Linked DNA regions of Arabidopsis thaliana. The protein of the gene in region 3 interacts with the protein of the main gene of each other region in a pairwise test. Each region holds a gene or a part of one and is shown on either strand. Other genes may lie near its edges.

Region 1 (9,286 bases), on a different chromosome or scaffold from region 3:
TGCTCTTTTCTCGTTAAATTGTCTATCATTTGACTCTTTGTATCTGGCATTGCTTCCCTCTGTATATAATATGTTAGATTCTACTGCGGTTTATTCAATAGAAGCTTATAGTGGGACATGGACGAGCCTAAGGCTGTCACTTACAATTGTTTTAAGGTGCTAACTATTTTGTGGCTGATTCATGGCATCTTTTCTACAGTGAGGTCAAACTTGAAGAAGCTGCCGTGCTGCACTATACTTATCCCAGATTTTCAGATCTTACTTCAAGACGTGATCGTTGTGGCTGTAAGCCCACTAAAGTGGATGTCAAGAGATGTTTCATGCTAGAGTTTGACAGAGCTGTGAGTGGAGATTTATAGTTTTTTGCTTTATATTTCCTGCATCGTTTTCCGAAATATATAGTCACAGCTCTTGGCTATCACATGTAGGCATTTATTATTGCTTCAACAGCGAGTTCAGAGGAAATGCTGCAATGGTATTAATATAGATTTAAATATAATCACTGCTCTTCATCCCATTTTCAACTGCTGCAATCTAACCAGCTTCACTAATACAGGTACAGAGAGCATGTTGTGTGGACTGATGAAAAATTGAAGTTGAAACTCCTTAGGAAGGGAATTCTAACCCGCATTTATGCTCCCATGGTTAGTTCCACAAACTCAAACCACGCTCTTTATTTGACATGAACGATCAGTGTTTGGTTTTCCACAAGCTATCATCTCTTACAGGTTATAATCCAAGAGCTAAGAGAAGCGGGTGTTTTTAGCTCTGTGGTAATCGCAGCTCACAAGTCTCCTTCGAAGAACTCTTCAACTGCTGATTCGACATCAGGCATTACCCGAGAATCATCTCAGGAAACTGGTAAGAGGAGGGTGTTGGAATTCCATCTTGATGTTGACGGTGAATCCCAAGCATCAGCGGTACCACCACAATCGCCTCCAGGCTTGGAAGCAACCCAGATGGAACTATAATATGAAACGTGTTTACAAAGGGTGGGATTTTTTAGAATGATTTATGAACAGTTTTGAACCTGAGCTCTGGTGTACATTTAGGAAAGTTTTCGTTTAGGTTATACACACAGATGATTCTACAGGTGAAGAGGAATGTCATATAGCAGGGGTTGTATCATACTTGATGATTCTATAACTTGGAATACAAAATCATTGTCTTCCAGATCGGACTACTAGTCTTCTTTTGTGCTCCTTTATCTTCATATGTACATGATTGATCCTCAGCATTACACACTTGTGGTTTTTCTTTCCTCTCGCTCTGTTTTGCTAGGTCCTTATCAATTAGGAAGGTTCTGCAATTACGTTTCCAGAACTCCTGTCATCAAGTATCAAATTATCTCTCTACCTTCCATTCTTCAGATTTATGGTTTTCCTGAAATGTGAAGTTTGGTTTCTCAACATCTTTAGCTTCTTATGAGTCACTCAGCTGATGTCACAAACAGCTTCATGTTGACTTAAACCTTACAGAAACTTAATGTTTCAGACTGAGAACATGAGCAATAATTTAGAAGAGAGTACTTAAGTCAAATTAGTAGCAACCAGGCATTGACAAGTACTGATAAGGTTGTGGACCATAACAACCAATAAGAACAACTTAAAAGAACTTATACATGTTGGACGTATGATTTAGTAGTTACTGCATTGTTTAAACTTTTCTTGTTAAAATCTTTCTTACACTTTGATACAAAAGAAAAAGATGGTCATATTCTTAAATACTTTATAGTTTGTGCCTTTTTCATGTGATACATAACTCTGAAATCTAAAATAAATTCTTATTACATACAGAAACTATTCAAGGTGGAGACATTTAGGAAACCGTACAACACACAGAAACCAGTCCACTTAACATTTTACCAAATTAATAAGTTTAATAATATCATCTCTAATCCAAATTTTGAACCGCCATGGTTTTTGTAAGCCTTGCGCCGTCAAAGTTTAGATATCCGCCATGGTTTGGGAATGCTGAAACGCCGTAAGAGAAGTTTCACGCTCAGACTCGTACCCTTTTTGGGTATACTTTCGGATGGCTGATTCTATGGATCTTGTTTTGCGAAGACGATGAGCCAAGCCAACGCCATGGTTTGTGCGCCGCCGCCGCCATATCTGCCGTGATTTGTGAATTAAACGCTGGGACAGAAGTTTGCTACTCGTAGCCTTCTTTTTGGGTATGATATCTGAGCTTTGATTCCAACCGTCGAGACTAAAGCATCCCGTAGTCTCATTGAAGGTTTCTTCTAACTACAGCTATGCGATCAAGGTTCTGACCACAGCGAGCCTTACAAAAGTCAATGTACCTTATGTAGACAGTTGCATTCTTAGCAGTGAGAGAGGACTCACTGGGTGGCTCCATAGTTTGAATGGCTACTGACACAATCCTCAAGCCGGAAAGATCATGATCCGTGGTGGTCCTATCAGATATGGCAACAGAAAGTTCCAGATACAGACGAATCCAGTCATTGGCTCGCAGCTCTGATTCATCATCCACCACGTAAAATCGGTTTCTGTTTTCGAAAGGGTTCTCCAGCGGGAACTCAGGCAAGCTACCCATGCGGTAGAATTCTCTTTCCAACGACGTTTTAATGATTGTCCCTAAAATATACAATGATGAATGAAATACTAGTTGTTGTAATAATAATAATGATGTGTTAATGAACACGCCTACCCAAGTAAGGAGTCACATGTAGTATAATAATAATTTAATTACCTGGACGACGTCTTTCAGCAATAAAGGAGGTCAAAACAAGCCGGCCACAAGCTTCTTCATAAACGGAAGTCTGAAAAGTAAAACGCCTTCCACTAGATGGCTGCATTGCAACCAAAGTAATGTAGAAACAGCAAGCACCAGCAGCCAGAGTCCTGTTGTATCTCTTAACGTGAGAGAGCTTTAAGTTTGTCCCCTGATAAATCAAAAACGAAATTTGAATAAAAAGAAGAGCAAGAGTGGATAAAGAAAGAGAAGAAAGGAAGACAAGAGTCTTACACTTTGATTAAAAAAAAGATAGTATAGTTAGTAATTGCCTAATTAATTTCACAAAGAGAGATGATAATCAAAGAAGTTAAATAAGTCTATGGGATGCATTCTTAATAGTAATCTTGTTAACTTCTTTCTTACATTATGAGTCTTTGATTATATAAAAAAAAAAGATATTAGTAATTTGCCTAATTTCACATGAATCCCATAGACTTATTTATTTCTTTATACTTTGCTTTTTTGGGCCTTTTTGATAATTCATAAATAAGTGGTGTTGATACGATGTCGTATTGTTGTGCGTGGGCAAGTTGTAATTAAATGCTACAGGCTTTGAAGCTTCAGCGAAAAGTGGAAGAAGCAAATCCAGAGGCGGGGAACCAGAAATAGCCAACGGATCCGCCATGACTGCTCGTAAGAGAACTCCTTCAGTGTCCAATTCGGAGAAACTAGCTCTACCTGAACCTGCATCTTCCCCGACGGTTCAGAAGACCTCTGTTTCCGGAGAGGATTTCCAGCTCGCGCCGCCGAAATTGGGCGTGATTTTCGTGATCTCTTCGCTTCTGTGTTCGCTTTATCTTTACCTTCTCTGTTTCCACTACAATGTTGACAATGAGCTCAAGCGTCCGATCCTCATTAACGCTGGGCTTAGCTTGGTTGGATTCTTTGTCACACTCAAGTTGATTCCTGTAGCTGCTAGATACGTTCTGAGGCGTAATATGTTTGGTTTTGATATCAACAAAAGAGGCACTCCTCAAGGAGAAGTTAGAGTGTATGTTTTTCCTTCTTAGATTTGTCTTTGTTTAGTTCTCAGATTAGTGTTCAGCGTTTTTCTAGAAATGGATGTCTCTTAGATTTGATTTTTTGTATAGGAGGAAAACTATGAGATGTCTCATTTTCTGATTGATGTTCTATGGATGTTTACGCTTGATTTGATCTCAGGGGACTTAAAGTCTTTTGATGTGCTTATTTTCAGCAATCTTATTTCTTTGTAGGCCTGAGTCATTGGGAATTGTTGTCGGTATTGTCTTCTTGATAGTGGCGATTGTATTTCAGTTCTTTAATTTCACTGAAGATTCGGTGGTAAGTGTCCTGGTCTCAAAAGCTCAAGCTTGATCATTTATTTATTGTGAACTATGAACTTGGTAGCTCTTGGCTCATTTACTTTGAATGCAATTTATCAATCTGGCTAAATGACTCGGTGCAGTGGCTTGTGGAGTATAATGCAGCACTGGCGTCTATTTGCTTCATGATATTGCTTGGATTTGTAGATGACGTCCTTGATGTGCCTTGGAGAGTGTAGGTGCAGTTCTCATTTTGTTGGATTAAAAATTCATGATTTAGTTTTGTTTTCTTATTAACTCTTGTCAATTTGCAGGAAACTTCTCTTGCCATCTTTTGCAACCCTTCCACTGTTGATGGCTTATGCTGGACATACAACTATCGTCATACCGAAACCTTTAGTTTCTTATATTGGCTTGGAAGTGTTTGATCTAGGTACAATTCATCTTGTATATAGTGTTAAACCATCAATAGCTATTTTGAAATTCATTTCCTTAGTTGTATATTTATCGTGGCAGGACGTATATATAAGTTATATATGGCGCTACTGGCTGTCTTTTGCACAAATTCTATTAACATTCACGCTGGTTTGAATGGCCTTGAAATCGGTCAAACCGTAGTTATTGCAGCTGCTGTAAGTTCTGCTGTCAAAATGCGTCGCAATGCTTCATTTTTTTGGTCCCATTTTTCCTTCTGTTGGTTTCTCGTAAGTAAAGTTATGATAAATCTCAGTAACTTGTAGATTCTGATACACAACGTTATGCAAATCGGAGCATCTGTTGATACTGAGTATCATCAAGCTCATGCCTTCTCAATCTATCTTACTCAGCCATTGATGGCAACATCCTTGGCAATGCTTGCCTACAATTGGTAATCTTTGGATCTTTCAAGTCATTTTCTCTTAAATCAATCAGGTAAACTAGCAAAGCAGAATGCTTTCTCTAACCACGTTCATGTCCCCTCTTTGGTGATGTTAGGTACCCTTCTGCAGTTTTTGTTGGAGACACTTACACAGTCTTTGCTGGAATGACTATGGCAGTTGTTGGCATTCTCGGTCACTTCAGGTATACTTCTAACCATACCGTCCTTATTGCAATGTACTTAGATTCATCATTTACATTTAACTTATGTGTGAGCCTTCAATTAACTAACTACTTATGAAACTTTGCTTTTTGCAGTGAAACCCTGTTAATCTTTTTTCTTCCTCAAGTGTTGAACTTTTTACTGTCACTTCCGCAGGTTTGATACCTTTCTCCATCTCACACTTTCTGTTACTTTTCAATACATTTGAAAGCATCTAACTTGCTATTGTATAACTCTTCAGCTTGCTGGCATTGTCAAATGTCCACGACATCGTCTCCCCAAGTAAGCTATTTTTTGTCCATTTTTCATAAGAGGCAAAGCCAACAAGTAAACAACACATGACTCTTCCTCTCTCTTTTTTAAACCAGGTATGATCCTGCTACGGGACTGTTAACAGGAACAAAAGATGGGACACTCGTGAACGTCTACTTGAGGATTTTTGGTAGGAAAACAGAAAAGTCTCTATGTATTCATCTTCTTGTTTTCCAGGTAAACTTGTTAATGCCCATATTATCATCTCTAAATACAAGTTGGTTTATTCTGAGAGAGAGAAATCACAAGATTGGTGTTTTGTGTGTTCTATTGCAGGCTCTTGCTTGCGCATTTTGTTTCATGCTTAGGCATTTTCTAGCTGGTTGGTACAAATAAATCTCTGCAACATGAAGAAACTCTAAACCTGTTCCTCTTTTCATCTCTCTCTCTGCCTTCACAAATCATACAAACACAGAACTTGTTTTGCTTCATGTCCAACAATCTACTAGAATCATCGTTTTAGTTCACTTATATAGAGAGTTTTCATCTAAAGGCGAGTGTATCTCAACAATATAAAGCCAATGAAATGAATCAGAACAAATTTGTCTTGGAATTTAAATTTAACTACAAATGCTGATCTTATTTTGATAACTTTGATTAATAAACTAAATAATTTTTAGATTAAAGTTTTGCTAATATAGCATGCATTAAATGAAGTGTCCATTTACATATATTTTTGAATTTTAAAAATGCGCTTTTAATATTAGACAGACTACTGTCGTACTAGAATAATAAAGAATGTAATAAAAAAATAGAAGGAGAATCGGAAAAGAAACCCACTTATAGAATGCCATGTGTCAAAACATAACAAGCGAAGTATGTTTATATAGTAAGAAAACTCTTTTGCCCTAAATATCCCAAATTGTCATATGTTCTTTCCTTATGTGGCTCTCTCTTCTCTTTCTCTTTCTCTTTCCTTTTTCTCTTTCGATCAACAAAACCACATCTCTGAACTGAACCAATTTCTCTTCTCCCCCTTCCGGTTATCGGATTACCAGATCTCGTTTCCCGCGATCTAGTTTATTCTTTGAAAAAGGTAAATGTTCAATTTTTTTATTTTATTCAAAATCTCCCCTGGATTCAGGAGATGATGATTTGAAATTGACGATGATGTTTGTGTGTAAAAGTGATAGAAGCAGAAATGGGAAGGGGCAAGATCGCGATTAAGAGGATCAATAACTCTACGAGCCGTCAGGTTACGTTCTCGAAGCGAAGGAATGGATTGTTGAAGAAAGCTAAGGAGCTTGCGATTCTCTGCGATGCTGAGGTTGGTGTCATCATCTTCTCCAGCACCGGTAGGCTCTACGATTTCTCCAGCTCCAGGTACCTTTTTTCTTTTCTCTTTGGTTGACTTTTTTTTTGGGTCTTGGTCCATCTAATTGGTTGATTGATTGATGTAGCAAATTCTAAATCTCGATTTTTTTTTTTCTTTCTTAAGTCGATTTCTTGTTAATTGTTTGCAAATTCAATTGCTTTAGAGAAGGAATCGTAGATCAACTTAGTCTGATAATTTGCAGAAGAAATCACTTGGTTTGAATGATAATATGTTTTGTAAGGGGAATATGAGAGTGTGTTCTCTGTGTTGTTGGAGATGATTACGATATTTGTGTGGAACATAGATTGTGAGGGACTTGTGGTGTTTATTGAAACATACTAAATTTGGTAGAAACTTTATCAGAAGAGGAAAGGAGGGGAGAAAGTGGTTAGTGGTTGAAGAAAACTCTAAACTCTAGAGAGGATTTAGAAAGAATCGTCTCCTTTTCACTGTTCATTTACTTTATTGGCAACTAGTTGGTGGGTTTGATGTACCTAAAATGAGCTGCATTATCTTCTCTTAATATATATTGTTAGTACACAAGTGGGGGAATCATTTCTGATTTCGTTGTCATCCATAATCAAGTTTTTGTTTTTTTAATTCTTCAACTTGGTCATTTGTTAATGATATGTAGGAGTATAGTCTTTCTTTTTGGGAACATTTTGCGATTTGTTAGAAAAATATTATATCTTCAATCCTTTCTGAATTTCTACTTTAGGAGTTCATTCATTTCTTTATTTGATTGTATCTTTCGTGTTTACATAATTGTTTATTAAAAAAGGTTGAATAAAATCTGGCTCTTAGATCTGTTTCAGAGGGAGAAAGCTTCCATTGTTCTGCAGAGCTTTTGTTGTTTCTCTGTTTTTTGAACTGAGACTCTGTTTTTTTCTTTTTTTCTCTTCAATAAAGACAGCAAGATATCTATACTGTTTACTGATTAGAGTTGGCTCTATTTACATCAATTTTGTCTGGCTTCTCTCATTCTCTGCTTAAACTTCATACATTATGTTAGATTTATTGCGAATCTGTAGTTGGGGTGCTGAGAATCCTGTTCCATGTAGACAGAGATGGCTTAGGGTTAACTAAATCTATTTAAGTAAGAAAATTTGACACTGAAAGATGTAAGGATAAATGTTGCAGTGGATGTTGCTTGGGTTACATTACCTATCAACCACACTCTACAACTATGAAACTACTCTCTTTTTTGGCAGCATGAAATCGGTCATAGAGAGATACAGCGATGCCAAAGGAGAAACCAGTTCAGAAAATGATCCCGCTTCAGAAATTCAGGTACTCCTTTTTTTTGTTACTCCTCCCTATGGATTTCAACGAGTAGACAAAACAAGTAACATACTACAACAGAGAGACTGTTACTCGATTCTTGTACTAATATGTTAGCCTATTACAACTCATTAGCATTTCTCAACTTTTAATTCCTCTCAAGCTGATCCTGATATCTAATCAGAGTTGCAGACCATAAATACCACCACACATCATATGTTGAAGTAGGGTTTGCAGTTTGCTATAAAACACAAGTCATGCCACCTGAACATCAGATTGCATACATAGTGTTGCATTTTATTTTGTCAAGAATCCGTTGTAGACTAGATAACATATTTATCCGAAAACAAAATACTTGTTTACAGTTTCAAACACCTGAAAATCATTTCTACTATATTCTAGTTCTGGCAAAAGGAGGCTGCGATTCTAAAGCGTCAGCTACATAACTTGCAAGAAAACCACCGGTATGTTTTGCATCCTCTGAGTTTGTCAAACACTCTCGATAGTAGTAACAACTAGAGCAGGGAAATATGTACTAAAATGCAAAATGATAACATACGTGTAGTCCAAGGTTAGAAGATTTTGCAGAACCCAAAACTATCCTACCATTTGCATTTGCTTAGTAAGGATAGTCGATATAAAGAATAGTAAGCCAAATGGATTAAGAGTTGTATACATAAACACATCTAAACCATCCATAAGAAGGAAATAACCAAACACTTTCACACTCCCCATCGTTTTCTTGTTTTGCTTTGGTGAATTAGGAAATGTATATAGTAACTCTGGAAAAGTATGCATATTCAGAAGAGCTTGTACTTGACAGGCAAATGATGGGGGAGGAGCTCTCTGGACTAAGTGTAGAAGCTTTACAGAATTTGGAAAATCAGCTTGAATTGAGCCTTCGTGGCGTTCGAATGAAAAAGGTTTTGATGCTGTGACAAATAAGTCAAATTTTGGAACCATTTAGAAGAAGTAATGGATGTACTCTATCTACGCTCTTCTTTTGCCTTTTGCAGGATCAAATGTTAATCGAAGAAATACAAGTACTTAACCGAGAGGTGGGACTATGGTTACTGTGATATAGGTTTTAGACGTTTTCCATAGTGTTGGTAAGCACATTGCTAATTCTTTTTTTATTCGGTTGCAGGGGAATCTCGTTCACCAAGAGAATTTAGACCTCCACAAGAAAGTAAACCTAATGCACCAACAGAACATGGAACTACATGAAAAGGTACCTTTGGGTTTTGGGAAGTA
Region 2 (8,378 bases), on a different chromosome or scaffold from region 3:
TGAATTACACAAAGCAAAGTATCAGTCATCTTCATGAAGCTTACACACACGACAGCAACCAAATACACACATGTAGCTTGAGAAGTAAACAGAGTAAGGCAACATAAAGACTTGATTCACCTCACGATCCTCTTCTCTCGAGGATAAACTGTTTTAAGAAAGCATCTTGAGAAAGCTTTTGTCCAATCTCCCATCATGCAACATATTAGTGACCAAGCCAATGGTTGAAGCATCTCCAACAAACCTGCAACTCCTCATTTCTCTGATGAGTTCAGCTGATGCTGCTTTGTCACCATCTCTCAGATGTGCCCTGATAAGCGTATTATATGTACCACTATCTGGAAGAGGCCCTTCTTCTTTCATTTCTCTAAACAAGGCATCTGCTTCTTCCTTTAAACCTTTCCTACAAAATCCTGACATCATTGTTGTGTAGGTTACAACATTAGGCTTCACTCCTTTAAGGCTGAGGCTACAAAATAGATCCCACCCATCTTCCACCTTCCCTGCCTTGCACATCCCTTCAATCATAATATTATATGTGTAAATATCAGGTTCCATTTTACTCCTTTGCAGATACTCAAACACCACCAATGCTGTCTCTACCTTCCCATTATTACAAAGCCCATCTAATAAAATGCTGTATGTCATAATATCGGGAAGCACACCATCAGAAACCATCTGTTTGAAAACTATTTGGGCATTATCACACTCTCTAGCTTGAAAAAATCCATGGATAAGAGTGGTGTAAGTGACTGTGTTGCCAACCAATCCTCTTTGAGACATCTCGCGGAAGAGTTCCATACCTTCGTCTACTCTCTTAGCCTTACAAAATCCCTTTATAAGAGTATTGTAAGTCACTACGTTTGGGAAACAGTCCTTGCTAATCATCAACTCAAACATGTGCTTGGCCTCGTCTAAACGATCGTGCATACAAAACCCATTGATCAGTGAACTATAAGTGAAAATATCAGGATCTATAGACCTTTTGATCATCTCGTCGTACAATTTCTCAGCCTCTACAAGCTTCCCCTCCTTCACAAATGCATCAATCAATGCGCTGAAAGTGACTACATTTGGATTGATTTTCCTCTCAATCATATCACTGAGTAGTCGAGAAGCATCACTCCATCTTCCGTAATTACAAAGGCATCTTATGAGGGAGTTGTAGGTAACAACATTTGGTCTAATTCCTTTGTTATCCATTTCAGTGAACAGATTGAGTGCATCATTCACGTTTTTGTAGTTGCAAAGAGCATCAATGATAGTGTTGTAGATCACAACACCAGGCTCTATTTTCCCTTGTTCCATCTTCTTTAACAAACTCAAAGCCAAATCAATATCACCTCTCTTACATAATCCATTTACTACAATACCATAAGTAACCAGATCTGGTTGACAACCTTTCACAACCATCCGGTCAACTAAAGCCACTGCTTCTGAAGCTCTGTTGTGGCGAAAAAGTCCATGAATTAGAGTGTTGAATGTGAATGAATCGGGCTGATATCCCATTTCCACCATCTGACCAACAAGAGATACGGCATCTGAAATCCTATTCCCGTGACAGAAACCATTGAGCAGAGAGTTAAGCGTGACAATATCGGGCTCATAGCCGAGTTTCATCATCTTGGCAAGAACAGCTAAAGCAAGAGAGAGCTGAGAGCGTCGGCAGAAACAGTTGATGAGAATACTGTATGTGTAAAGATTATGTGAAATTCCCAAATTTTGCATCTGCTCGCCGAGAGAGATGACAAGATCGAACTTGTTCATCTTAGCAATGGCACTCAACAGTTTACTGAACTCAACAATCGAAGGGAAAGGACGAGACTTGACCATGTCACCGAACAGATTAACCGCATCATCTAGCTTCAAATCATTTAGCCTATTTATCGATATTTTTCTGTAATCATATCTAACACCAGAGAAATCTCGTACCCAGAAACTGCAATGGCTAAAGGAAGGAGGAGCAGTTCCACATTTACCTTTTCCGAGAAGACTCCGATGAACAAATCTGTTTCCCGTCGATGAAATCGCAAACAATCTCCTCATCTTCAGCTGATTGGGGTTTCTTCCAAAATCACTGATTCAGAATCGTAAACTCTCTGTAAACTTGTATAAACCCTAAATGATGAACCTTTTGCAGACAGAGAGAGTAAAGGTTTGAACTTTTGGTTCTACCAAACCAAACAGAGAGAGAGACTCACATAGGCTGAGAGAGTGAGAGTGATATTCATCCAGTTTCGCACCACCGTTGGATCATTTGACCGGTCAAGATTTCATCTTATCATTTTTATCACCGGTTTGGTTTATAATCACATAATGTATTTTTTTTTGGTTTAGTTCTAAATTGAAAGGCCAGCATTAGCAAATAAATATGAAAAAAACAAAGAAGATTATCAAGTTTTGCTATTTTGGTTCCATATTTGTCTAACTATATTTCCTTCATTTTTTTTTTTATTGCTGAGATGTCCCTTTCTAATTAAGGTGAAACCGCGTGGACCTTACCAATTTATATCTTGGATTGTAAAGATCTATATCTGTTTGGTTCCACTTGTATATGATACAATGATACAATACAAGTTTGGTCATTATCATTTTTTCTAATCATATGTCAACAAAACCAAAGTATGCATTCATTTTGCAAAATATACACATCTATTTGTATCACCTCCCAAACATTTCTCCCATTATACGGACTTGGACAAGTATTCATACCTCTGCAAAAGTCTTATTGATAAATGAATGTGAAAGTACATACAATTGGTTTAGAACATTAAACACGAGTTTGGTTTGGACACATGGCTTTCATATACTCCTTAGTGATAAATTATGGTTAATTATAACCATCTTTGAAGTTTATTCTAATATTTTATTTATTAATTTCATTGATATGGTTTCAAACGTCAAGGAATATTAAACCTTTTACGAAAAAATTTCGGGTGGATCATATAATATCTTCCCTTCAATCCTCAAAGTTCTCGAACTCTACCAATACCTACAAGGCTACAAAAATTTATACACCATTGAAATATGCTGCAACGAAGTCCATTTAAGGCCTGATGATAAATTCCTTGGAGATCGACAATAATATCCAAGCGATTGTTAGTGAGATTATAGAGTTAGTCTTTGTTGGATTCAATAGTTTGTTCCACAATGTAAAAGTCGACTATTCTAAAGAAGCCCTTGGCAACTTATTAAATCTTATAAATAGTTAAATATCGAGACCGTAGAACCTTTTGCTATATATAGTTTTTCGTCAGAAAAAAAAAGTCTTCATGCTAGAGAAAAAAAAGTTTAACTTATAAATACCATGCTATAATTAAAACAAAATAACACGTACTACAAATAGTACTAGCTTATATTTTCTCTCTTTTTTAATAATTAATTTTCTAAAAAAATACATATCTTAAGAAAATATTATTAAAATTAATTATGAATATATTATTTTTTGTGTTTTATATTTTTTTATAATTAAAAATCAATAATATTTAATTATTTATCTTGAAATTTGATATTCATCAATAATATCTAATTAATATTGCAAAAAAATCTAGAAATCCATCTTTTAAAAACACTTTTTTGTATAAAAAAAAATAAAAAAATAAAACCCTTTTTGTAAAAAATTCAATTAAGAAAAAATAAAAGGAGTATATGTTTTATCTTCTCTTTTTACTTTAACAAAATACCTTGTTTTTTTGTTGTTTTCAAGTTATATATTTTGTAATCTTGTCGCAGGTCTGAGTTGTTTTTTGCACTCAGAAAAGAAACTTGTACTAAAACCTAGGAGAGGAGGAGCTGGCACCACCGCCTAACTCGCCATTGACACAACACCAAAAACTCTTCTTTACTTTTTGTTATTCTACACACATCGATAAAGATTAAGAACATAATTAATAGAATTCCATAAATAATTAGATGCACTAACTTTTCAACATCAATTCAACGGTTTAAATTCGTGAAAAAGCGTTTTTATTTTATTTTAATGGTTACAACTTTGTAGTTTTTACCCTAAATCTCTCTCTGATTACTGATACTCTGTCTCAATCTCTTCTTTCTTCTAATCCTTTATTTCTTGTAAGCTACTTCTCCTGAATTTCGTATTTGATCCGTTTAATCCAAGTTTCGATTTTATATAACAACCACATAGACAGAGAGAGAGAGAGAGAGAAACAGAGTAATGGCGAACAGAGATGTGGAGAGAGTAGGGAAGAAAAACAGAGGAGCTAATAACAATTATTTCTACGAGGAGTCTTCTGGTGAAACTCATTGGACTTCATGGCTGATTCCGGCGATTGTAGTGGCAAATCTCGCTGTCTTTATCGCTGTTATGTTCGTTAATGATTGTCCTAAGAAAATCACCGGACCTAACAAAGAGTGTGTTGCTAGATTCCTCGGAAGATTCTCGTTTCAACCACTTAAAGAGAATCCTCTCTTTGGTCCTTCTTCTTCAACGTAAGTATTACTTTAAAGTTGGAGATTCATGTTTCATCTTCTGGGTATCTCCAAAGTCTCAAACTTTTTGGGAGTCCAATTCGCAATTGAATTTGATCACTATTGTCTGTTCTTATGGAAATTGAGCTCAAAGTTTTCATTTTTCTGCAGTAATTAAGATTACCCAATTAGTGCCTTACTGATAACGTCAATGAATTTGTAGTTGAAGCTCGAGATTCTAGAATTTGTTAATCTAAGTTACTGGCAAACAAGTTTGATCTTTTGGGTACCTAAAACGTCTCAATTTTTTTTGTTTTCAACAAACTGAAAAAGTCTCAATTTTTGTGTTTTCAACTTGGCAATTGAATTTGATCTTTATTGTCTGTTAGTGGCTTGGAACATGAGCTCAAACTTGTAGGGTTTCTCAAAGTTTTTATTTTTCTCCTGGAATTATGTATTTAGCTTGGTTTGGAATTATGATTTGTAAATTTCATTGGCAATTATTGTAGTGATGGTGTTTGTGATTGATTTGGTTTTACTCGGATATGTACTTGTATCAGATTGGAGAAAATGGGAGCATTGGAATGGAGGAAAGTAGTACATGAACATCAAGGATGGAGACTTCTCTCTTGTATGTGGCTTCACGCTGGTATCATTCATCTTCTTACAAACATGTTGAGTTTGATCTTCATTGGTATCCGCCTTGAGCAGCAATTTGGCTTCAGTAAGTCTTACCTTTACGTGTACAAGAATTATTGTTCAGTCAAGTTTTAGACTCTCTTTGTTTAATCGCCAAGTGAAACATTTGATCTTTATCGCGGGAATGTTACTGTGCAGTAAGAGTCGGGTTGATATACTTAATATCGGGTCTCGGTGGAAGCATACTTTCGTCGCTTTTCCTTCAAGAAAGTATCTCTGTTGGTGCTTCGGGTGCTCTCTTTGGACTTCTTGGAGCAATGTTATCTGAACTTCTTACCAATTGGACTATCTATGCCAACAAGGTACTTATGCCCTTTTCGCTATACGCGCCTTAACCGGAACTTAGGATTAACGGCTTCTTTTGGCAGGCGGCTGCTCTGATCACACTTCTGTTCATCATCGCAATCAACTTAGCATTAGGCATGCTTCCTCGGGTTGACAACTTTGCACACATTGGAGGGTTTTTAACCGGATTCTGCCTCGGGTTTGTCCTCCTTGTCCGACCTCAGTACGGTTGGGAAGCTTCCCGCACCAACACTTCGCGAACCAAACGAAAGTATAGCATGTACCAGTACGTGCTGTTTGTAGTTTCAGTGGTGCTACTTGTGGTTGGGCTAACGGTTGCATTAGTGATGCTTTTCAAAGGAGAGAATGGGAACAAACATTGCAAATGGTGTCATTACCTTAGCTGTTTCCCAACTTCTAAATGGACCTGCTAATCATCATCATCATCATCATAATCATATAGTAAAAGCTTTTATATGTGTTCTTGTTAACATTTAATCTCTTTGATCTCTCTAGCCTTTGATTATTTATATATGTGTACATTACCAAATTCGTCTTGTGTAAAAGGGGATAGAAATAAAAGAGTGTATTATTTTTACATTTGAACACCATATTTCTCAAACTGTCTTTAAGTACATAAATAGTAAACAATTTTATTAATGTAAAACATAAGCTGTAATTGGAAATAAATTCCTTTAATTTGGTTATAGTACACACTTTATAGTATCCATCTTAGGTCTTGTAGATTATTATTCTTCCTTTGCTTCAAATTCTTCTTTCTCTAGATCTCTTTCTTCTTGAGTTTAACATGATAGCCATTTGGAAATTGCAATCCAGGAGTTCGAAGTATATTTCCTCCACTAGTTTCTTCCCATCTGATGAAATCCAAGAAACAAAATTACAAAATCAAGAACCATTAGTTGTCTTAACTTAACAGATGAAAAAGGAGTAGTTTCAAACTGTATTTTGTGACTGAGCTATGAAGGAAAACTGCAGTTTGAAGTTTGAACTTTGCTGAAGTCAGCTCCGATACACAACCGCATTCCATCACCAAACGCCATGAAATTCCATCACCACACGCCATCAATACAATATATAATACCAAGATATGCAATCATGCATACATCAGCTTCATGCAATATATGCATAATTTTTAGGAGATTTCAGATGTCACAAGATCGAATTGAACATATATTTTCAACAGTGTGAAATACAGTTATACGGTTAGGGTCTGATTTTTGTTTTTGGTACCACGTGGGTTTTACAAGTTTTTATGATATTACAAATAAATTAATAATGCATCACACTTCATTTATTGTGAATGGGTGACTTTTAAGAAAACAATGACCAAACACCACCCAATAACCTTCCTGCACTGTGTCATTTAGGCCTTAATGGTGCAGTGGATAAGGATAAAGTACGGGACATAGACAATGCCTTTAATCATCCACCATTCACAAATGATAATACCTTGTATACATGCGATGTAACTTCAAATATAGGGATGATTGTGTGCTTTGCGGATCAAAACAAGAACTTTAAAACCTCTCGGTAAAAAGTACAAATTAATGGTTACTCTAAACGGAAAGGCACAGGAGATTTGTTATTTATATGATGTTCTCAAACAAAGAAAAGCTACTCACACAAATCACATGTTGCCAACTTTAAGCTAAAGACCCAACTCTTTTCTTTACGTGTAACAGAAAAGTGGCGCAATGACCTTCAATGGCTTAGCTCTTGACTTCTCGATGGTTTGAGTTTGATCTCTTCAGCGCCCTGTCATGGTTTAGCATTGCGCTTACGCTCTCAACCACGAAAACGATCTGTAAAGAAAAGCAGAAACCCGTATGCGGGTTTTAGTCAAGATAACCCAAAACTACAACATTCTTTGATCAATAACTGATGATCTCATCATCCTCTGCTTGATATCATCAAATTTTGTACTATATGAGTATCAACTCCCAACTACTGAATAGAATAATGAATTTTGAAATGGATCCAGGCCTATATTTTACCTGAAAGCACGCGTAGCCGATAGCGTTTCCAAAGTAGAAATTTGCATTTCCGGTTCCCTGTCATGAAAAAATCAAAGGTAGTTGTGATCATTAGAACATTTTGTTGCAACTGCTGTGAAGAGTTGGGTTATGGATTTGAGTAGAAGCTTACCCGCCATATCCAGAGATTGTGCATCACAGGGCTGAGGAGAGAGATCCCGAGATATCCACAGAAGAGGAAGAACGAGAACTTCATATCTATGTGAAACAGAAGCAGAGTTTATATGCAAAGGCTAAACAATGCTAAGAGGATGTGAAGTATTTGCTTTTACCTAATAACTCATTGACAAACAATGCCCATAAGCTCAAGTATAACGCCGAATCTCCGACCTATTGAGAGTAAATCAAATGATGAAAGCATTGTTAACATTTATGAATATAATTCCTCAAAGAAGAAAAGATAACTTCAAGTTCACAGTGAATTCAACTACTTACTGAAGGATAAGATTTAAGAATCGAGGAGATCGCTAAGTATATGAAAGCCAGGAAACATGGCCGATGTTTCAACCTTATGGCTAAGGGCAGTAACATGAACAGAATATTTACGTGTAAAACTATCAGAAAAAAGTTTCTGAAGAAGTCGAATACTTCTGCAAAGAAGTACCTGAAAACGAGATTTAAAACGAACAGTAAATAGTCTTTTCATAAAAGAAGGGATCCCTTATTCATCACCCAATGATATCACCATATTAATTTATTTTACTTACCAAAAGACTCCAATGTTTGGTGAAAGATCTTCAATACTAAGAATGAAACCATACGTCCTACAATAGGAGGCAAAGACAAACAAACATCAAATCGCCTAAACACTACGTTGCAAGTTCTTAATAAATAATTATATGATTTGGAATATAAGTTATAGATATAATATGGCTAACGGAAACTAATCCTATAGCGGTTATGAATAAGATT
Region 3 (7,016 bases):
ACATGCTAGAAATCGTCCCACCCGGAACCTCCAAAGGGAATGGTGTAAAAATGCTACTCAATCATTTGGGCGTTTCACCGGATGAGGTAATAATCTAGCATCTTTTGACGGCGTTGTAAAGAAACTCAAGTAGGCATAAGTATAGAAGTCAAACAAAAAATAAGATAGTTGATGAAGCAACCCGGATTTTCTTATCAGATAATGGCGATTGGAGATGGAGAAAATGACATAGAGATGCTGCAACTGGCCTCGTTGGGAGTTGCTCTGAGCAACGGTGCAGAAAAAACAAAGGCGGTGGCTGATGTGATTGGTGTGAGCAACGACCAAGATGGTGTTGCTGATGCCATCTACCGCTACGCATTCTGAGACTCCACCACCATATTTAAGTACAAGATACACCAAATTAAATTTTTGAGGTTAAGTAGGCATTATTCTTCTTCTTTGTCTTACAGATAAAAGACAAACATTGGTCATTCTTGTCTCATTCACCCACCTTTTGAAGGAAAATGATTGATTGCAGAGTGCGTCTCTTGTTGTTTTGTTCATGTTCGGTTAATCTTTCATTCGTTTGCCTTTGCACCTTTGCATCTTACAACATAAAAAATGTTCCGGATCTCTTGTGAACAAATCCATCTCATTTGGTTACCTGCAGTAACATCAGTTAACGTTAACCAATCAATTGGTGAATAAGTTACCGATGAACAAAAGCTGTTGTAAGTTTGAAACCATTCCGAACAATTTTTATTTAAAAAGTGATGTAGGATTCGAAAATAATTGGAGTAAAGTTACACGAATCTTGTGGCTATATAAACTTCGTAGAAAAATGTAGTACAAATACTTTTGGAACACAGCAATTACATATATAGAACTATGAAATGGTCAGACTTTTTGCAGTAAGTGGTGCAAAGTGCCAAGAATGCAATCTTAAATCTTTTCCTAGCTTCATCGCTTCATCCTCTGTAAAGGCCTGATGGGTCTGCGTTTTGCACAATCCACGGGTGTTCAAGAAGCTTGTGCAAGGCCAAACGTTGCGTAGACTCCTTAACCAACATCTGTTTGATCAGAAAGTGTGAAAATCAGAATTCACTCTTCAAATGCACAAACACTTAGAGAGATTTACGAGGAATGCGAGTAGAAACCTGGCTAATCAGGTCCTTTGCAGATGATGACACAATGGGTTTGGGAGGGAACTTGAGATCCACTTGAACAATCCTGTATCATTTGTCGAACAAAACCCTTCTTTAATGTACATTCCACTGACCAAACATCATATACTAATCCCATTCTACGCTTAATGAACATGTTACCTTTTGTATGTCTCTGAATGCTCCCTGGCCTCAAAAGGAGGAACACCATAAAGAAATTCGTAGCAGAGAATTCCTAGACTCCATATATCGACACTCGCATCATGTTCAACGCTTTCCACTGTGAATCCAAAAGCAGAAAAGTCAATTAGCTGGTTGCCGAAGAAAGTAATTTAGAATCACACAAGAGAGAGAGAGCTTTCTCTTACCCATCTCAGGTGGAAGGTAATCCAAAGTGCCACACATAGTCCTTCTACGGTTGAATGTGTGTACTGACCATCCAAAATCTGCAATCTTGAGCTCACCCTGAAAACATATATCCATGAATACATAAACACATAAGCTAACTGCAATCACATGGCGTTGATGGAGAAAGATAACCAGATTCAATTTGTTACCTGAGCACCAATCAACAGATTTTCAGGTTTTATATCTCTGTGAATTACATGCTTTCCATGGCAATAGATGAGGGCTCTAGCCAATGACGCAACATACTGCCACAATAAACGTAAGGGTATGACTACACAGATTCACATTAACATGCTAGAATAAGTTCAATTATCACTAGGACTTACAGTTGCTGCTCGACGTTCGCTGAAGTACTTGCACTTCTGAAGCTCTTTATAAAGCTCACCCCTTACAGCATACTCCAAAATCAAATAAACTCTTTTCTGCAACAACGGTATCCCAAAAACTATGTTAACCTCACAGAGCCAAACATTGTATGTCAACAAGAAGTTCTTTTACAAGCACAGATAACACAAAACCTGATCATAGAAGTAACCGTAGAGCCGCAGAATATTGGGATGCCGAAGATGAGATTGAATCTCTACTTCCCTTCGTAACTGGTGTTCAACTTGAGATTGTTGAAGCTGAGCCTTAAAAAGAACCTTTAAAGCCACAATGTGATCGCTCTGTTTGCAAAGACACATAGAAGACAGCTTGGTTAAAAAAGACATCAAATTAATTCTGCTTGTTTAACATAATTGTGAAGAAACACTAACCCGTTTCTCTCTTGCTAGATAAACATGGCCAAACTTTCCTCTACCAAGTGGCTTTCCGATATCGAAATCGCTTGTAGTCCATCTCTTTTGTGCAGCCTCTGAAGCCGCCTGATACAACATTATCACAAAGATTGAAATCCAATCAACTCTCAGATACACTTAATCATAAACGACAAACAATCATTGATACTTTAAAACTTGAAGATAAAAGGATAAAATCAACAGCTCCTTAACACTAATCCACGGATTTGTCAATTAATCTAGGGTCCTCGCTGTAAACGAATAAATCCACAATCATATCATGAAATTTCTCAAAATCATACCAACAAGTCTTTCTCAAATTAAACAGAGAACATTGAAACAAGATTCTTTCTGGCGCAAAGAAAATCAAGCAACCAAATCGATAATCCCAGATCACATTCCATTAGAACAGACCAAACGCAGAGAAAAAACGCAAACCAACAAGGAAGTAAAACCCTAAATTGAAACAAATTCGACAAAAGAACCAAATGAAATTGGAATTTGTGAAACCAAGAACAAGTTATTTTCTTACAATTTGCTGCGTCTCTGTAGAAATCCCCATGGAAGAGATCGTTGATGAGCCAAGATAGCGAGAGAAAGAGAAGAAAGAAAGAGAGAAGAGAGAGTAATTTTCACAAAGGGAACAGATCCAAATTGAGAAATTTAAAAAGGGGAAAAAACGTAAACCACCAGCAAAGCAGCAACGGTCGAATCCAGATGCTGCCACGTGTTGATACATCTGCATCGAGGTTTTTATTTTCAAATAATTTGTCTCCCGAGATGATACAGTCGCTACAGGCCCAGATATTATTAAGCCCACGGTATTCCAACTTCATAATCACTAGGATAATATACAGTCACTACAAGCCCAGATAATAGCCCAATAAGCTTCAAGATCGTTTGACGATGAGATTTTAATTCGGAACTAAGTAACCACGTGTCAGTACCTCGTCAAAGTAGCTCCATGCAGAACTGACACGCCCGCGTGACACTCTTCTCCATTGCCTAACACGCCTCGTCGTTCGACACATGTCTCGTTTAAGTTTAGCCTCTCCTTCATACTAGTCTATTTTCATTCTTCATAATAATCACAAATGGTAAGCTTATTAAAGCTACAAAAACAACATAGAACATTAAATCCATACTCTCTTAGAAAAAGAAAAAAAGAAATGGCGGATCATCAACAACATCAGCAACAACAACAACCAATAATGAGGAGTCTCCATGAATCATCACCATCGACTCGGCAGATAGTGAGATTCGTAACGGCAGCTACGATCGGCCTATCACTCCTCGTGCTCTCAGGACTAACACTAACCGGAACGGTGATCGGTTTGATCGTAGCGACGCCGTTGATGGTTCTGTTCAGCCCGGTGTTGGTACCGGCAGTGATAACGATAGGGCTTTTGACGATGGGATTCCTATTCTCCGGTGGTTGTGGGGTGGCAGCAGCTACGGCGTTAACGTGGATTTATAAGTACGTTACCGGAAAACACCCGATGGGAGCGGATAAGGTGGATTACGCGAGGATGAGGATAGCGGAGAAAGCCAAAGAGTTGGGACATTATACGCACTCGCAGCCACAACAAACACACCAAACCACAACAACTACTCATTAGAGTTTAATAATTATATGGATCTATATGTTGTATTAAGTTTTATGATTATCCTACGTATGTTTTTTTAATACTGTTCTTACCTTTTTGAAAAGATCTATCTAAAATTTTATTTTCTATTTTCCATACAATTTTTTGTGTGTTTAATTGCTGATCGGTATTTTCTGTTTTATGATTGTGAAATAGCTAGTGTAAGGAAAGATGATAACGAATTAAGTAAATTAATAAATGCCAATTACTTGGTCACCGTCTGGCTTCTAGAATTATATGGTGGCTTTCTTGGTATATGTAAATGTAGTTTTGAGTGTGGTCCGTTTGATTTGAAATAATATTGTTGTTTTTATGTTCAAAAAGAAAATTGCAAGGTTTGTGAATTTTGTGTATCAATACCAAGGCTTGAACCACTTTATCTATACTCGCTAAATAAATTTCGAAGGCTGCGCTAAATGGCTCGTGTCATTTACGTTGTCTTCATGAACGTATTGTAGTTAGTGTGATTGTAAAAATATTTCTTTGTTTAATCATTCCTCAAAAATTGTATTCGGCCTTTGAGAGATGCGGTGAGGTCGTATGCATGTTTTCCCAAATTTCGAATACTTGCAAACTGTTCTATGAATGTGGTTTTTAGGTACTCATGAAATAATTGAAAACTTTACTTGTCTATATGTTCGTAAACCATTGGCATTGAATTGCATGGCATGGCTTACTATGCGCGCACCAACAAAATGCACATGCATGCTTCACGAACGTATAAAGAAGCTGAGGGTGGACAACATTCACTGCTTGTAGTGGGCAATGCAGTCTTGTAGAGCAGTTGTACTTTCAAACGAGGTTCTTTGTCAACGTCTGATTGGTTTTCTAGAATAATTGAAGGAGTACTTTTGTCCTTATCCTCGCAATGGACTGAGTAAGTTTCCTCCGCGGTTCCCTACTGGCCATGAGCTATGAATTTTTCAAGTGGTGGGTGCCAGGTGCCGGGTGGGTGCGGCGTTAGGATTATTCCTAAAGTTGAGGATCGATATACGGTTAAGTTTTTTTGTTATGGAGTGGTGTTTCGTAGTTTGTCATTGCATCAGTTTGATAATCTCTTTCTTCTAGCACCAGATTGTTTAGATAAATGTTAGGATATATGTGGAAGCAAAGGAATGATGTGGTTCACAACCAAGTCTCGATCCCAATATCAACTATCTTCAAGCTCATCGACAAAGAGATTCAGAACGTAAGCACCGCAAGACGTAAATGCAAGCGTTATTGCAACCTAATGCAAACTCTGGTTAATTTTAACTCCCACTATGTAATGTGACTTCTACATCATTTGTCTCTTTGTTTAATTTTTTGGCCAAAGATTCAAATCCATTGATATTCAGAGACAATAGTCTATATGGATTTATTAGATATAGTCTATATGGACTTATTAGATGATATTAACATTCATAGAGAAAACAACAAATTAGGATACGTTTTCTTTCTAATGAGAAAGTGAATGTACGAATGGTTGTTGGGAGGCTATTGTGTCTCGTAGATATTTTAAATAATTTGAATGTTTACTAATATAGAATGTGTATTCAATTATAACTATTTAAATTATTTTATTGTTGGTTTAGACGCATTCTTAAACTTTCACATCATTCTCTCGTGACTATTATAATAGTTATCGTGCTCGATCAATCATCTCGTGACTATTATAATTTTATCAATAGTTTATGCATAAGAGAACTGATAACGATCATACTTCTTTTTGTCATTATGATAGCTTATGATTAATCATTGTTTATCCATACTTGACGCTTGTAAGTGAAACATATGTTTAAATTTTCAGGCTTAATTTAATAGCCACGAACCAAAAATTATCTTATAATAAAAGTTTGGTGCGATTTAAGAAGATTTGTCCCCAAAGCCCTATCTGAAAGAGGTCAAATTGGATTATTAAATTCAACATATTAATCAATTTGATATTTGTTTAATGGTCTGATTAGTGACAATTATAAGTCTAATATTGCGAATCTTTTGCAGTGAGTATTCCACGTGATATAGATAAGTTTCCCTTAATGGATAACCTTTGCATCAAACAATTAGAAAACAAATGGAAGAGTATCAATCAAGTAGATCTCGAAGCAGTGGACCCTAACACGATACTGGAACATGGACCAAACCTTAAAATATCGTCCAAATTGCTTATTTTCTGGAAGGTTACAAGTGCACAACACTCTAATAATATATGCCCCGCATAACAATTTTTAAAACTATTTCATCTTAGACCTCGGATATTTTGAAGGAAGCACATTTTCTTGAAAATCACTAGGTGACTTGTGTTTCTTTCTTTGGAGCATGTCAATTTACTCCCATCAGCTGGAGAGCCAAAAGTTAAAATTAATGTTCGAAATTTATTTCATAAAAGCTACGTACGTTGCATCCTTCCATGATCTAGAAAAAATGGGGGACAATAACCAAATTTATTCACTCTTGTCAGGTCATGGGGAGTAGTCTACGACCTTGAAAGTCACGTGACAAGTAATATATACTGTACCGTCCAAATATTTTCTTACTGTAATGTCTTATGTTTCATATCGCTAGACCCTTAATATTAGTGTGGACTAATTCATATAATTGCAAATAAAATAGTATGATTCTACGATTCTTCAAAATGATCTAATAGTTACAGTCTGGTCAAAATGATCTAAATCTTTATAAACAAATAACAGCTACGGAATAATTAACACAATTTTTGGTGATAAACTTTGAGTTATGATAGAAATTTTTTTTTTTTCAATTTTTAATGTGTATCTTAATTTCTTCAATTAATGTATCCCTATGTTTTATGTGACTATATAACTTTTGGTTAGTGATACTCCAAAAATGTTGTTTTAGGTTTTGACACACATATTAATAATTTGTTTTATTTTTTACTTTACAAAATTTCTTATTGGTTAAAACATAAATCACTGCAAATAAAACTTTAATTTTGTTTGTAGTCAAAATTAGCTTTTAAAAATGTAAATTGATATTTATTCTAATTATTTTTTTAATGTTCTGACAATTAATTTAAAACGGAAAGCGTAATAAAGTAGATG
Region 4 (8,273 bases), on a different chromosome or scaffold from region 3:
AATCAAATTTTTATGTATATATTGATGACTTTGAGTTTGTCTCATTGTTCTCTAACTCAAAATGCATTTTGTTTTTGCTTCTTCTTAGGCTGCATTTGTGTTGGGACAATTGGAATCCAAAACAGCTATAGCTTCTCTAAGCAAGATCTTGAGAGATGTGAAGGAGCACCCCATGGTTCGAGTAGAGGCTGCAAAAGCCCTTGGTTTCATTGCAGGTATATTCCTAGAAGCTACCACAATTTTGTGTCTTTAATTAATTACTCTTTGACATTCTTTGGGTTTTTTTTCAGATGAGAAGAGCAGAGAAGTACTCCAAGAACTTTCAGGCGACCTCGATCCCATTATCGCTAAAGGTTGTGATTCTTCATTGAGTATCTTGGAATTTAAGAATTCAAAAAAATATGACCCTCTCATATAAAATGGTGTGTGTGGGTCTGTTGTGTAATGAAAACATCTACGTTTCATCTTCCTTTTGTTAAACTTTGTTTTGTATTCAAATGATTTGCAGACGGTTTAAGCTCTGTTTTAAGCTATTATCTCGGCCTACTTGCATTTCTTCACTTTCTCAGTGAAAGAATGATTAATTTTTTTCATTAGAGTGCACAATTGTTAATTAATATTTTCTTGTTATAGAAGCAAATTACAAAAAAGCTATCTGACAGATTCCAATGTGATCAGTTCAGTCCAAGCTGTGCTAGTGAAGTCATATTCTTGATTCAAGTAAGAGTTGTGGCTCGAAAACCAACCATTTGCAGATAAGCTTTCTCCGAGTGAGTGAGTTGAATGATCCAGTTACCCGCCCCCAAGTTATCAATCTTCCATGAATCTCTGTTTGCATCTCCTTCTAGTCATCTGAGCCCATCTCGCAAAGATCTCTGCTGCAGCAAACTTACCTGAGAACTTAGCTCTCTGTGCCAATTCCTCAAATATCTCCGGTTGTCCCCCTCTGTGGAAATCAGCTGCAAACTTGTTATAATCAATCAAAGGGGTTTTCATTCCTTTGTCAAGCATCTCCTCCAAGTATCTGCATGCCTCTCTCGACTTCCCTTCACTTATAAGCCCTCTGATCAAAACCGTGTAGGAGTTATCGTCAGGACAAATCCCTTTCTTGATCATCTCGTCCCAAACTGCTCTCCCCATCTCATAGTTTCTCGCCACGAAGTAAGATTTCATTATCATGTTGAACGTGTGTATCGATGGCTCAATTTCGTTCTGGATCATCTTGTTGTAGATCCTTGTGCCATGTTCCGGCATTTTCTGGTTCGCCATCAGTTTGATCAACGCATTATACGTTTTGCCATCCGGAGGGTGTCCCTTTTCTTGCATCTCCTTGAGCAGTTCGTAAACAGTATCCAGCTTCTTCTGAGTCCCAAACCCCGTGATCAGACACGTGTAAACCGCAGCATCAGGTTGCAACCCGGAATCAACCATGTCATCAAAGTACTCAATGGCAGTTTCCATGCTCGACTGTTTGCAGAAGTCCCGGATCATGATGGTATAGCTACGGACATTAGGGCAAGGTCCCTTGGATTTCATAACATGGAACAATTTGATCGCATCTGATTTTTTCATACTCCTCAACAACCCTTCAAGCATTACGTTGTGAGCTACAATGTCAGGTTTCAATCCGTGATCAATCATATCATTCCAGATTCTAGCTGCTTCTATCAAGTTCCTCACCCTGCACCAACCATTGAGTAGAACAGTGTAAGTCATCATATTAGGTGTAAACCTCTCCTTCAGCTTATCAAACAGAACCTGAGCTTCTTTTCCAAGCTTAGCCCTGCCAAGACTATCAAGCAAGCAATTAATGGTTTCAACACCAATCTTAAACTTGTACTTCTTCATCAACTCAAAGATACCAACAGCTTTCTTCCTCTCTTTCGCAGCAGCGAAAGCTTTCATCGCGATAGTGAATGTCTCCATCGTCAATAGACCTTTCGTACCCATCTCTTCGAGTACCGAAACCATCGTCTCGAACTGTCTAGTCTTTGCTAAAATACTCATCATGGAGTTATATGTTCTTGAAGCATGAGCAAATCCTTGTCTCTCTGCAGCCCAACAGAAGAACCTAAATGCAGGCTTCCTAGCATGTCGAAAACGTTCTAAAACCTCAACGATGAGATCATGTGATAAATCTAGTTTCATTTCATCAAGAACAGCTTCCATATTTCTATCTAACGCAAACAATTCATCAATCACTTTGCAGACTCTCTCTACTTCTTCCGGATTAGTACTTGATTCAACACAACTGACCCCAGTTTCTTCATCATTATCGCATTCAGATTCAACTTCTTCATCACATCCATCACTAACATTAGAACTACCACTAGAGAAACCTCTACACCCAAGACTCGCATCAAGCAGTTGTACAGAGGAGTGTGGCAATGGAATTTGACGGTAAGGATGATAAGTAGAAGAATGAATCATACGAGAGAAGAGAGCACCGGAAAATCGTACTTCCTCTTCTCCTCTCCCGCCGATTACGCGGCTTTGACTGGAAATGAATTCATCGGCATCGAATGAAGAAGAGCAAATGAGGAATCTTCTTAATGAAGTCTGAGTGGAGCTTCTTCTCCTAGAGAGATAGAGCCATGGAGCAGCAGCCATGGAAGCTCGACGGCGATTAGCAATGGCGAAGTCGGTGAAAAGCCACTGATTTACGGCGGAGAGCTCTTCACGTATTTGGGCCTTTGTTTGATTAGAAGCTTTGAGTGATAATAATTTTGACCCATTAAAGGCCCATTGATCTGGTCACATATAACCATTGGGTCCACCAGGAGCATTAAAGCTCAAACGCATAAAGAATTTTTATTTTTTAGTTGGAAGGTATCTGTATGCATCTTATCTTCGTTTTAGGGTCGTGATATTTTCTCAAGTTTTTCTTAGGGGACCAATTTATTTTTAGATTTATTTGATTCTATCTTACATTTCTCTTAGTTCACGTTGTCTTTGTATACGTGTTTATGGATATTACATAACTGAAAATCAAGATCAGTCAATCAGTGTAACATCAATCATCAATAACCCTGCGGGATGTATATAAAACTAAGGGATATATGAGGAAAATCAGATTCCAGATTAAGTTCATAAATATTGATTCACCTAAAATCTATAATAACATAGTAGTTCAGAAGCATGAAATAATTCTATAAAAAATCATGAATTATCTACATAAAAATATCGCATATTGTAGATAAGAGTCACCCCTGAAAGAAAAACGATAGTTTTCTGTATTTGGTTATCAATCAATCCTATGTGGGTTTATATCTTATCTAATGTAAAAATTACACAAAGGATAGTGTCTGCAAATATCTAAATGAAAACACTTAATTCCAAAATGAGAAATCAAGTGGGTTTTGCCTAGCTAATTGTATAAATAGTAACACAATCATAATCTCTTCTTCCATCAGGTCTTCTTCATAATATATTTCTTCTCTAATAATTGAAAGCAAAAGAAAACAGTTTTTTTTTTTAGAAAGGTAAAGAAATGGAGGAAACAAAGGAGAGAAAGATAGTAGTAGCAGTAGACGAAAGCGAAGAGAGCATGGAAGCTCTGTCATGGAGTCTTGACAATCTTTTTCCATATGGTTCCAATAATACACTCATCCTCCTCTACGTCAAGCCCCCTCTTCCCGTTTACTCTTCCCTCGATGCCGCAGGTTAGTCCTCGTTCTTTCACGATTCATATCTTTCCCTAATTATAATCTGTTCACTTTAGTTATAGATTTTTGTTTGGTCGATTTCCAGGGTTTATAGTGACAGGAGACCCGGTTGCAGCTTTGAAGAAGTATGAATACGAGCTCGTGGAATCGGTCATGGCTCGGTCTCGAACCGTGTACCAAGATTATGAGTCTGATGTAAGCTTATTTCTATCGATTTTTTATCACTTAATTTGCTGGATTATACTTGCTTAAAAAACTTGAGAAATTATGAGAAAGTGAATTTAATCAAGTAGTTATGAGTTAATCTGTTTATCATGAGCAATATTTAGTACAAAAAATATAACATATGATAAGCAAAATATGGTTGTTTTCAAAGAGAGTTGGCGAAATAAATGTAAATATAACCAAATTAATGTGCAGATTAATATAGAGAGACGAGTTGGAAGAGGAGATGCTAAGGAAGTTATATGCAACGCAGTTCAGAAACTTAGAGTTGATATGTTAGTAATGGGCACTCATGACTATGGCTTCTTCAAAAGGTAAGGTTTCAATCTCTTATAAGAAACAAAAATATTTTGGTTTAATGGTTATTTGATAATCATTTGATATATTTGATAGGGCTTTGCTAGGGAGTGTGAGCGAGTATTGCGCCAAACGAGTCAAGTGTCCTGTGGTTATCGTCAAGAAGCAAGCTCAAGATAATTAAGCTCATATGATTGCATTGTGTATATGTTTCGAAAGAACTGGTGTAACACTTGAATCAATCTTCGTATGCGATAATAAAATACATAACGGTTTAAACAAATTTAGCAGATATTTTTGCTTATATAAAACTAGCTGACAATGACATCAATCAACCAATTAAATTCAAATCTACATTCTCTACATACAATGCCAAATTAAAAACTAATGTAAACGCAAATTTCAATTTAACGTATAGAAGAATGTAATGAACCATATACCAAGTTTTGAATATTTGCAATTTTGTTGTTTGAACACTTAATTGTTGTTCGCTTCAAAGTTCAATAAAGGCCTCAAGGCCCAAAGTATATCTGTTACTCATCCAGTCGACACAGTCATACTTAAACGTCGCCGTTTCCGTGTTCGAAGCTTCGTGAAAATCTTCAATCTCGCGAGAGAGAAGAAGAAGAAGAAGAAGAAGAAGAAGCGATGTTCCTGGTGGATTGGTTCTATGGAGTTCTGGCAACTCTGGGACTATGGCAGAAAGAAGCGAAGATTCTGTTTCTAGGTCTCGACAACGCCGGCAAAACCACCTTGCTTCACATGTTAAAGGACGAGGTTCGTTTTCTTCGAGCCATATCAGTAATCGCTGTCTAGAATCTTGTTTCTTTTACTTAGCGCGAACGAATCAAAGTCTTAATCAGCGATAATCGTTTGATTTGGGTTTCAGAGACTGGTCCAGCATCAGCCGACACAGCATCCGACATCGGAAGAGCTTAGTATCGGCAAAATCAAGTTCAAAGCCTTCGATTTGGGAGGTCATCAGATTGCTCGTAGAGTCTGGAAGGACTATTACGCTAAGGTTTGATCTTCTTTCTTCTTTGGATTTTATTGTTAGGTCAATCAATTTAGCAAGTCTTTGGAAGGACTATTGCGCTCGTATAGTTGTATGTAGACTCTAAGCTGACTCTGTTATAGATTACAATCTTCCCTGTGCCCATATAAACAATAGTTAGATGATAGAGGTGAAGTGAAATCTTCAATGAAGTTTGTCATATAGCAATTCTCTTTTGAATGTTGCAGCATGAGGTCCTGTGATTACATTCTGCTGGTTATGTGTACCTAGTAAGCTCTTGCTGTGTACTACTCCTACTCTGTTCCTTAGCCACTGTGTTGCTCCGTTGGGTTATATAAGTTTGCAGATGATAGTTTGAAATGATTGAGCTATAGTAAAATCTTCAGATGATAGATATACATATACATCATATACTGTAGTTTAAAATGACATTGTGATTGGTATGTGGAGCCAGTGGAGGTTGAAAATTAGAAGATTGTATAGCTATAGACTACTCTTACTGTCAGTTTTAGAGTCATGAGGTCCCTTGTGATTTACATTCTCATAGCTGATGATTCCAGTGAATCAAGAGATTAATAGACTCCGGTGTTTCTATTAGCTACCCTCTTTGCATTCTATCTTCAAGTTTGTAACTTTATTATTGTCTCGTATTAGGTTGATGCAGTGGTATACCTAGTTGATGCATATGACAAAGAGAGGTTTGCAGAATCAAAGAAAGAGCTTGACGCTCTTCTCTCTGATGAATCCCTAGCAAATGTCCCTTTCCTCATCCTTGGAAACAAAATCGACATTCCGTACGCTGCATCAGAAGACGAGCTGCGTTATCATCTAGGCCTCACCAGTTTCACCACTGGGAAAGGTAAAGTGAATCTAGCAGGAACAAATGTTCGTCCTCTTGAGGTGTTCATGTGCAGCATTGTCAGAAAGATGGGTTACGGCGAAGGATTTAAATGGGTTTCTCAATATATCGACTAGATCAATCATATTTAAGTCTTATCTATCTATACTGTGTGATTGGTATCTGTACGTGTTATAACCTAATGTATAATTACGATTAATGTGTGTATACAACAAGATTTGACGGCTTTTAAATTATCAATTTTGTGTTTACAGACCAAAGTTGAATCCTATGAAAAGTGTGAACCCATTTGTCTGTGACTGTGTAACTGTGTGGGGCTTAAGAAATGGCTGTATCTTAGCTTTTTTATGAAAATTCGAAAGATGAACACTTTTACTTTAATAATGTAATGTAGAGAAAACCCCATGTGAATCGAGTTTGACAATTAACAATCACAATGTCCTACACTGAAAACCAATCAATTTGACACATAGATGTACCATAATGAGTGTACGTATATTGTTTTACATGTGTTATGTCTCTTTGTGAACTTATCATTATGTCTGTTTTTCTTCTTTCTAGGTATTGTGAAATGAACACAAACAGATCTATGGATAACCATGTATTTATTTTCATTAAAATATGTGAACAATAATACTCCAAAATAGTTCACAAAATAAGTAAAAAAATTTGCTTTTTAGCACCATCACAATGCGTCTTTGATCTCAGCCGCTTCCAAACGTTCAAGTCGCAGCGTAATAAGGCTAATAGATTAGATTTTGCGACTCAAGATTTTGCAGCTCAAGCATATATATGTCTACGGACTATGCAAATATGGATGTGTAAGAAAACTATTAGGTGCTCACTTTCTCTTTTTATAACTTTTTCAGAACATTTCTCCTTTGGACTGATTCTTCTCTACGTGGCCCAAAGTTAATATCAAAAGTTTTTTTTTAACGTATTATTTCTATCATTTGTTATTAATTTTTTCTCCTTTGGATTGATTCCTTGTTACAGTTTTTGCTCTTCTTTTTACTATGCTGTTTCTTTTTTATATTCGCCACTAGCTAGAGACTGGTTCTATGTCCCAGGACCCATGAAATACCAAGCACGAAAATGTGACCAAATGAATAATTTGATTTAAGTTTTTTGCTTGAATGAGAAAAGTTTTTTTTATATATAAAAAAATGTCAAAATATTAAAACTCATTCGATTGATTGCGTGGAGAAGAGAAAAATAAATTTAGAAGAAGTATTAACTTGGTTTTTGGGGTAAAGGGATGCACATGGATCCCTCATTCCCACGTGATATCTAAGCCAAGAACACGTGCCTCCCTCTGAGCTATCTGACTTTTATGTGATTGGTTTCAGTTTTTAGTTCAAAACCCAAAGCTTTTGGATCCAAAAGAGGTCTCTATCGTATGCATTTGAGCAAAACTAGATGATTGGTTTGATGCCCAACGCAATATTCTCTCTTTTTTACTCAATACTTCAAATTAAATAACGACGTTAATCATACAACTAGTATTATTAGTATTTGATAATAGATTCCTATCTTAAAACTTGCGCCAACTTTGACACTTATTTGGTTCTATATAAAACCCATGTCTCGGTGAAAGTCACCAGTCATAGACAATGCAATCATGTTGCAATGTCGAAACACCCAATAGTGAAAGTGTTATGTACAATATTTTTGGATGTCCACTTGTAGCTAGAAAGCTTAATATTTTATGATTTTTCAAATAATTTTTGGTTTCTGTTGGACTATATGCATTCCTATAACTTTGCAAGATACTATATAACTTATCAAAATTAAATTTAGAACTAAAACATACCATATGATAGAAGGGATTTGACGAAGTATACATATTGATGTGTATGTATATATGAAAATATGAAGGGTATTTACGTATAAATATGTATGTACATGTTGTGTGTATGATATATACGCCGTCATGGTGTGCCTCTTAAGATGCTAACATGTTTATAGAATGGGGACAGTTGCCTTTTAAGTAGACCCACTTTTAAACCAAATATTTAACTCAACACTAGTTAACTACAATTAACACGTAATCGTCGTCTTTGTAGAGTTTGTTAACTCAAGCCATCCTGGCATAGTTGTCTCGACCAATGGCACGGTGTGCACTATCATCAACTATTTAATGCTCGACTCTATCTTTTAATTTGTATTATACTAGCAGTTCTCATCTCTTATCTCTATTCTCAACTAGTTC

The links.
Region 1: the proteins of AT2G25890 (region 3) and AT3G57220 interact in a protein complementation assay, tested with the Arabidopsis thaliana proteins (one large-scale study listed by BioGRID).
Region 2: the proteins of AT2G25890 (region 3) and RBL2 interact in a protein complementation assay, tested with the Arabidopsis thaliana proteins (one large-scale study listed by BioGRID).
Region 4: the proteins of AT2G25890 (region 3) and AT3G62560 interact in a protein complementation assay, tested with the Arabidopsis thaliana proteins (one large-scale study listed by BioGRID).

Annotation. Positions count from the first base shown.
Region 1 is NC_003074.8:21,171,133-21,180,418, forward strand, and holds AT3G57220 (Glycosyl transferase family 4 protein), read left to right. Parts: upstream 1-3,262; 5' UTR 3,263-3,383; coding exon 3,384-3,751; intron 3,752-3,974; coding exon 3,975-4,062; intron 4,063-4,186; coding exon 4,187-4,278; intron 4,279-4,357; coding exon 4,358-4,476; intron 4,477-4,559; coding exon 4,560-4,675; intron 4,676-4,783; coding exon 4,784-4,911; intron 4,912-5,018; coding exon 5,019-5,105; intron 5,106-5,219; coding exon 5,220-5,280; intron 5,281-5,365; coding exon 5,366-5,406; intron 5,407-5,492; coding exon 5,493-5,613; intron 5,614-5,712; coding exon 5,713-5,772; 3' UTR 5,773-6,062; downstream 6,063-9,286. Other genes in the region: AT3G57200 (glycosyltransferase-like protein), read left to right, coding at 200-341, 429-475, 557-644, 729-971; AT3G57210 (uncharacterized protein), read right to left, coding at 2,230-2,600, 2,716-2,821; AGL16 (AGAMOUS-like 16), read left to right, coding at 6,578-6,759, 7,963-8,041, 8,435-8,496, 8,856-8,955, 9,049-9,090, 9,180-9,263.
Region 2 is NC_003070.9:23,406,522-23,414,899, reverse strand, and holds RBL2 (RHOMBOID-like 2), read left to right. Parts: upstream 1-3,760; 5' UTR 3,761-4,174; coding exon 4,175-4,449; intron 4,450-4,988; coding exon 4,989-5,152; intron 5,153-5,265; coding exon 5,266-5,429; intron 5,430-5,495; coding exon 5,496-5,846; 3' UTR 5,847-6,096; downstream 6,097-8,378. Other genes in the region: AT1G63130 (Tetratricopeptide repeat (TPR)-like superfamily protein), read right to left, coding at 154-2,046; AT1G63110 (GPI transamidase subunit PIG-U), read right to left, coding at 7,143-7,235, 7,428-7,484, 7,579-7,664, 7,739-7,796, 7,902-8,070, 8,174-8,230. UniProt on the Arabidopsis thaliana protein: Rhomboid-type serine protease that catalyzes intramembrane proteolysis. Can cleave the Drosophila proteins Spitz and Keren. May function in pollen elongation.
Region 3 is NC_003071.7:11,033,937-11,040,952, forward strand, and holds AT2G25890 (Oleosin family protein), read left to right. Parts: upstream 1-3,366; 5' UTR 3,367-3,423; coding exon 3,424-3,948; 3' UTR 3,949-4,243; downstream 4,244-7,016. Other genes in the region: AT2G25870 (haloacid dehalogenase-like hydrolase family protein), read left to right, coding at 1-86, 199-366; AUR2 (ataurora2), read right to left, coding at 951-1,052, 1,140-1,212, 1,308-1,425, 1,514-1,610, 1,703-1,798, 1,880-1,975, 2,072-2,218, 2,309-2,416 and 1 more.
Region 4 is NC_003074.8:23,132,704-23,140,976, forward strand, and holds AT3G62560 (Ras-related small GTP-binding family protein), read left to right. Parts: upstream 1-4,582; 5' UTR 4,583-4,835; coding exon 4,836-4,964; intron 4,965-5,076; coding exon 5,077-5,208; intron 5,209-5,856; coding exon 5,857-6,177; 3' UTR 6,178-6,442; downstream 6,443-8,273. Other genes in the region: AT3G62530 (ARM repeat superfamily protein), read left to right, coding at 89-215, 291-418; AT3G62540 (Pentatricopeptide repeat (PPR) superfamily protein), read right to left, coding at 811-2,610; AT3G62550 (Adenine nucleotide alpha hydrolases-like superfamily protein), read left to right, coding at 3,491-3,662, 3,751-3,860, 4,086-4,204, 4,284-4,371.